Bombyx mori: one gene and its partner. The protein of the gene in region 2 purifies or fractionates together with the protein of the main gene of each other region. This does not show direct contact. Links are inferred from orthologs where the notes say so. Each region holds a gene or a part of one and is shown on either strand. Other genes may lie near its edges.

The links. Proteins that work in one complex are often made in the same cells at the same time.
Region 1: the proteins of E3 ubiquitin-protein ligase MYCBP2 (region 2) and F-box/SPRY domain-containing protein 1 purify together in Homo sapiens (affinity purification with western blotting; 7 studies listed by BioGRID and IntAct, with this or other methods). This does not show direct contact. The link is inferred for Bombyx mori from reciprocal best matches to the Homo sapiens genes MYCBP2 and FBXO45.

What each region holds. Positions count from the first base shown.
Region 1 is NC_085110.1:9,215,670-9,219,646, reverse strand, and holds the start of F-box/SPRY domain-containing protein 1, read left to right. Parts: upstream 1-1,177; 5' UTR 1,178-2,160; coding exon 2,161-2,489; intron 2,490-2,580; coding exon 2,581-2,854; intron 2,855-3,797; coding exon 3,798-3,888; intron 3,889-3,977. UniProt on the Homo sapiens protein: Component of E3 ubiquitin ligase complex consisting of FBXO45, MYCBP2 and SKP1. Functions in substrate recognition but also plays an important role in assembly of the complex.
Region 2 is NC_085107.1:16,483,987-16,487,486, forward strand, and holds part of E3 ubiquitin-protein ligase MYCBP2, read left to right. Parts: intron 1-517; coding exon 518-748; intron 749-1,357; coding exon 1,358-1,472; intron 1,473-2,072; coding exon 2,073-2,260; intron 2,261-2,994; coding exon 2,995-3,153; intron 3,154-3,500. UniProt on the Homo sapiens protein: Atypical E3 ubiquitin-protein ligase which specifically mediates ubiquitination of threonine and serine residues on target proteins, instead of ubiquitinating lysine residues.

The DNA of each region.
Region 1 (3,977 bases), on a different chromosome or scaffold from region 2:
ACGTCACGAACTATGAAAATGGCGTATAGTATACGTCCGTTACCTTCGCAATCGTCGGCGCAACTGGGCAAGCGAATGTGTGGGAGACTACGCGAAGGTTCGAGGCTCGCGCGCTTTGATGTCTCTTAAAAAACCGATACAGCTTGGAAAACCACGAATGCAGCGAAAACTTTGCATAATCATTCGCAAATGTCGTCCTACACTTGTGGGTTTGCGTATTCGTGCGCATGTGAGTGACCGGTGTTAGTCTACTAAAATTTATAGTTGATTGTTTTTTGATACAATATTCCACTGGGTGGCAAAAGACACCTAGCCCATTGAATAAGTATTTAAAATAAAATGAATGAAACCGTATCTGTTAGACAAAATGTAAAATGGAGCATAATCACATAAATTCACTCATTTAAAGCTTTTCTTCGTTAAGAACGGTTAGCTGGTAGAAAACTCAATTGTTGAGTTAAGCTCGCCATTTTTTATCATCATATGAAATTAACGTAACGTTATCATAACATCATATGAAATTAACGAAAAAGTAACCTTTCAATATCCTTGTCTTTTGTCGTATCACTCTTGTCAGAGCGGTCGTGGTCGTCATTCAGCATCATTACTGTGGGTAGATGTTATGCGTTTCGTGAGCAATCGCCACTCCTCCCGGTTTATGGTGAGCCTGGTACGCACACGCAAAGAGCCGCCAACTGCCCATGCCGATTTGAAAACAGTGCAATGGGGGGAATTTATTCAAATTTCAATGACGAATTTAGAAAAACCTGAAGTAGGTCATACGACTTGAAATATTTTCCTAAACTTGTGTACATTTGTATGTCGTCGTCGTGGCCTAAAGGATAAGATGTCCGGTGCATTCGTGTGTAGCGATGCATTGGTGATCCAATCCCACACACAGGTGGGGACATTCCAAAACAATTTCCAATGAAATATGTATTTAAAAAAAAAACACGATTGACTTCCATGGTGAAAAAATAACATCGCGTAATAAAAATCAAACTTGAAAAAATATAATTTGCGTAGTTACTGGTGGTAGGTCGTCTTGTGAGTGCGCATGGGTCAGTACCACCACCCACACCAATTGAGCCGTGAGATCTTTGACCCATCTATCAATTAAAAAAAAAGTTTCAAAAATCTTCTCCACTAAGCGGTTCCACTGAAGTAGGAAACCTAAGCGGTTCATAACATTTTTTTAAAGGCAGACAATGACGACTTGGTGTAAGATGTGTTAAGTTACCACTATAAAATCTGAAGAAATCCTAAATTGGCAGAATATAACATTTAATTCGGGTTTAATGGGTCAGTGGGGAAATTAATGTATTTAAAAAATCATAACGTGACAAACAATTAACTACAGAAACTATGAATATGTTTTTTTTTTATTGCCCTTGTAGGCAGACGAGCATACGGCCCACCTGATGGTGAGTGGTTACTTCTTCGACTTCAGCAATGCCAGGGGCAGAGCCAAGCCGCTGCCTACCGCAAACTATATGAATAACTAACTAATATTAAAGAGCATGTGTGCAGTAAAACGAAGTAAAAGTAAAACTTTCAGAATTATTCCGTGTTATTCTCTCGCAGGCTAATAATCCTTTAGACATATCTTTTTGCCTTTTTCAGTGTCGCTTTTTCGTTACACCGATTTTCATGTCACAGTAGTGCTCAAGTAGTTTTTACTCCATTATTCATCTTCCCAAATGAAATAAAATCTTCTTATTTTCTGGTAAGTATTAATATTCATTTCAGGCAGTCCTGAGCCTGATAAGTACGTAGGAGAACATTCATATATTAACAATAAAAACAACAAATTTTCAACTAATCGTGTTTTACTATGTTATCATTAAAGTGTTAATCTTTAGATATTGTCTGCTGATTCGATAGCGTTGTTTAGAAATTGTGAAGCTCGTTTTAAATATTATTTTTCCATACTTGATGACTGGCTGTTTGAGACCTGTCCCTTTTGTAACAAAAGTCCAAAGTGGACAAAACAAAATAAAACAACTTAACCTGAAACTCAGAATTTCCAATAAATTTCATCAAAAGCAATAATATTAAAATTCAATCACTAACCCGCTGTAACCATAGATCTTTCTAAAAAGGTATTAAATAACTACCAAAATTGTGCATTTAAAATTAAATGCTTATTTCTACAATAAGATGCGTCAAATTCATAGATACAAAAAATATGCTTTTGCTGAAATCATACCTGACCATATTTTGGAACTTATTTTTTTGTATCTAAGATTGAGAGATATTCGAAACTGTGCGTTGGTATGTAAGACTTGGTATAGAATGCTCAGTGATGAGAATAATGAAGTGTGGAGATATCATTGTTATAGAAGATTAACAGAAGAAATGATGAAATCTGATTTACTTTCGTGCCTCAGAACTTATAGAGAAAAACTTAGAGCATATTGCCATGCTTGGAATCCGTATGATTGTTCGAGAAACATTTATATCAAACCAAATGGATTTACTTTACACAGGTAATGAATTTTAAATGCTCTTTAGAGTATATGTATGAAAATTTGATAATGGTGTCATTTCAAGAAACTAAGTCCAATACATTAATTTCAGAAATCCTGTAGCACAGAGTACAGATGCTTGTAGAGGAAAGGTTGGATTTTATCGTGGTCGTCATGCTTGGGAAATTATATGGGAAGGTCCCCTTGGCACAGTAGCTGTCATAGGGGTGTCAACTAGAGATGCACCATTGCAATGTCAAGGATATGTAGGATTGCTTGGTTCAGATGAACTGAGTTGGGGCTGGAATCTTGTTGATAATCATTTATTACACAATGGTGATACTCAAGGACACTATCCATTGTTAAATAACTGCCCCAAATATCAAGTAATGCTTTTATTCTATTTATAACATACAAAAAATAGCTCCTTAACATTAAAGCATACAAATTATTGATTAATTTAAATTTAATTACATTTTTCAAATTAAATACACTATGTAATTCAACAGAAATAAAAACCAGTTAATGCATAGGGTCTATTAGGGTCTCATTTGAAGGTTTTGTCCTCCCTTTGTATTATAGCAAATAACCTCACTGTTTATTAAAAAATCGTTCCAATGATTTTATCTTGCTAGTAAATGTTGCTAAAAATTATGATCTATTATTTTATAAATAATTGAAGTTTTACACATAATTTTTTTTCTATGTTTTGAACTAAACAATATCTAATAGAAGTAGATATGACTATAATAGGCAATAACAGCCACTTTTGTGTTCCTGACCCTCAAACTAGTGACCTTGTAGATTAGAATATTTTATAGAATATAATTTGTCCAGCAAACAATTATTTTGACTATTTATGAACAGGAGCAATATAATATAATATTTAGGAGCAGGAGCTAGGGGTCTTGGGCATGACGTGGGAGGAGCTAGAACAGACTGCCCAAGACTGATGTAAATGGAAAAAATTGATTCGAGCCCTACACCCCAGCAGAGGGTAATAGGAAGGAATGATGATGATGATTTATGAACACACTAAAGTGAAAAGGCATATCTCTGTTTTATTAGAATAGATATGGAAGATAACCTCTGTAGCTTTAAGTAGTTACAGTGTAAAAATCTATCTGATTATGACATCACTGCTTCTCAGCAGAAATATCCACAAAAGTAGTATCATTCTGACTGTTAATGTGTAAACCAAGAATAGATGTATGTAAAACGATATTAATGAATGTTTTGGATTTAATGGGGTTTATTTATGTAATGTATTATATAGCTGACTACTGTTGTGTTTCTATGATTTGGTTAAATCTAATAAATATCTTCCAGGTTGGTGAAAGAATAAGAGTGATACTTGATTGTGATCGTCACACCCTCTCATTTGAAAGGAATTATGAATTTTTAGGTGTTGCATTCCGTGGTAATGAAATAAAAATTTAATAATACATATGTATAATAAAGTCAAGAGAGAGTGATCAAAATCATGTTATAGTTATGTCATTAGACATT
Region 2 (3,500 bases):
CCTCTTATAGCGAAGATGAAAACTCAATCAAACCAGCCAGACCTCAAGGTACACAGTTAGTTCATTCAGTGCGGAACAAAACCTAAATGTAGCTTTATATTCAAATGTCGACGAAAAACACTTCTAGTGTGTGTTGCGAGTATTGATCATGCTATTTTTTATTGCTTTGATGGGTGGACGAGCTCACGGCCACCTGGTGCTTAAGAAGTTACTGGAGCCCATAGTCATTTACAACGTAAATGCGGCCACCCACCTTGAGACATGAGTTCTAAGGTCTGCTCCACTCTTCTAACCAAAACGCATTACTGCTTCACGGCAGAAATATAACTGTCAAAACGTCCAAAATAATATATGTATTGAATATAATACAGATTATATGTTTCTTATGCTTTATGAGCAAAGATTTGGATTGGGTCACTACGCTAGTCCAAGGCGATTGATATGTCCATTTCATGTGTAAGTGTGGTTCGGTAATCGAAACTTTAATAATAGGTACTTAAATTATACTGTATTATAGGAGAATCATGTATGGAGCTCTTCCGACGTGACTGGCTGGTGCGATATTACGGTATCTTCACGTCAAGGCATGGCCGGCGCCTTAACCGACGGCAGCACGGAGACGTTCTGGGAATCAGGCGACGAAGACAGGAACAAAGCAAAGTGGATACAAATCTCTTACCCGGGAGGCTCGCACGATGATCGCCCGCACATTGTGTGCGTCCACATCGATAACACAAGGGACACTGTGGTTAGTGTCGAAATGGTTTTAAAATTTGAACATTATTATTTGAATTTCACACTGTGAGAGTTAAAAGTAGGATAGTTGATGTTCGCAATATTAAAACAAGATGCAAACAATTCGCCTAGTCTTTAGTAATAAGAAAAAAAAAAATACATGTGTGCAGTTCACACGTGGTAGAAGTGAAACCTTCCAAAATTAAAATACAATTATCCTAAACGTCTTAAGTATGTGTAAAATTTTGTCATTCGTAAATAATTGTAAGGTAGCGCCCTCTGTGAATTGATATTTTAATTTCACGTATAATCGTAAATTAAAATTCACTACAAGAGCTTTCATACACACTTTAGTATTAAAAAATCTCACAGATGGCGCTGTATTAAATAGTATGTATATTTCTGTCTCATTCTTTGCTGGCTTCATCCTACACATTTTTGTATTTGTGTCTCTTACCTGTCGTTTTTTCCGTTGCATCCAGTTTGAAATCACAACGATTCTAAAGAAGTTTTCACTTCAATTAGATTTTGTGATACATAATTTAAAAAAAAACTAACTTCAATTGTTTTCTTAACAAATTACATATTTACTTATTTTAAATTAATGATTAACTATTTACAGAACAAGACGCTGCTGATGACGTTCCTGTACAGCTCAGGATCCACTGAGTTGATCCACATGCAAGACATAGAAGTCGATCCGAAGGTCGCTACTTGGCTCTGCTATACTTTACCACGTAAGTTACGAAACCGACAAATCTTGATTAAATTATGTTGTTTTACATTGAATTTATGAACTTAACATAATGACTGTGTGAATGAACTGTCCGGGTCGTCGTTACTCCTTACGGGGCCACGGAACGAGCGAATCCCTCTGTGTGATGGTAACATGAAGCGGAGGTGGGTTGGGGGAAGGTGTTGTGTTATGAGGTGCGTGCACCGGTCACACATTCACTCATACACATCGACTGAAATATACACAATCTTTACTAATATATACATCTACAGTGGTTTTTACGGATGCTCCGTTATAACTGCTGAACCATGCAGCCAATTGACTTGAAACTTGGTATTCATGTAGAAAACATATGTACTTAATGGATAGGCTAATATTTATATGAGTGTTGGACTCCCTACACCAGTTGCGGGGGCGTTAATGATGAGAATCTTTATGGGGGTGAGAAATAATAATGTTAATTTTAAATGCCCAGCCAAGCGGACGGGTACAGTTAGTTATTCATAATATTGTGGGACTTGATTGTGGTGGAGGTGTGGTGCCCGGAGGTACCGACTGGTGTCCTCTTCTTCAAGTTTGATTGATTTGAATGAAACTACAGGTGTGTCTACCACGTCGCTGCGCGTTCGATGCGAGCTCCGCGGTCCCGAAGCGGCGGTTCGAATCCGCCAGGTCCGGGTCCTGAGCGCGCCGACGCTCCTCCATTCAGCCGCCGTGACAGCGCCGCAAGTGTTGCACGGACTCTGCGAAACGGACACCCTGCGAGTTTTCCGCTTGTTGACTTCTCAGGTAAGACTTGGGCATTCAAATCTGTATTTAAATTGTCATCGTTTTCGTTCGACGTGCAACAACCTAGTCCATAGACACAATACACTGAGTTGCTCGCTGGATTTTTTAGTGGGTCGCGATTCCGATCCGGTGGTAAATTCTGCGAAGTACTATTCTTTCTGAGGTAATTGTTAGCAAGTTCTCTTAGGCTGATTTCGTTAGCTTACCTACGAAAAGCATGCGTAGCTGAAATAGCCCCTCGAGGATACCAGCGATTAAGTAGAGTTTTTTTGAAGTGAAACTTCTAATGTGACTTCCAACAAAGTTGCGTTAAACGTTGAACGCTACCATGGAATAGAAAGAGACAGAGCGAGAGCGAATGAGCGGCACTCGAACGCATGCGCCTAATATACCTATTACAGGCCATCACGAGCGTTAGCAACGAGTAGCGACTAATATTTTAATGAAGTATTAAAAAAAAAATGTATTTACTTTTCTATCTATAATTAAATATATATAACATCAATGTTGGAAAATGTCCCATCTCTTATACGCAGTGTTCCCTATTACAAAAGTAATTTGATTTAACGATGAAAAATGAACAAAAATACAATACTACATATCGAAAAAGAAGTTTCACTTCATTCGCGTGTACTAAGTTGCACGCGCACTGTTTTTTTTTTGTTTTCACGTCATCTGTATGTTACTTTTAAATGTCTATTCGAAATATCTCGTAACGATTACTCGCTCGGTAGGTGTTCGGGAAGCTCTTGGAATGGGAGCAGTCTAGCGACGCGAGCGCCGAAGCCGCGGTAGCAATCGACGATGGAGTTGCCAACGACGACAGCGATCTCAGAGAGCACGTTGTTGGCATCCTATTCGCTGGACACAAACTTACATCTCTGCAACGACAAGTACGTATCTAAAAAACCTTAACATATTTCATGGTATCGAAAATATTCAATACTTTTCTCGATAAACTCTTACACTATCTGTACTTAGAATAAGTAGAACCTTTACCATAGTATTTACAATTATGGACTTACTGATTAAGAACCAACAAATCTCTTTCCCCTATTGTTGTTTCGGGTTTTGGGTTTTACTATTGGAACTCAAATTACTCCGATGATTTTATTTTATTAAGTCGTCGTGGCCTAAAGGATAAGACGTCCGGTGCATTCGTGTTGAGCGATGCACCGGTGTTCGAATCCCGCAGGCGGGTACCAATTTTTCTAATGAAATACGTACTTAACAAATGTTT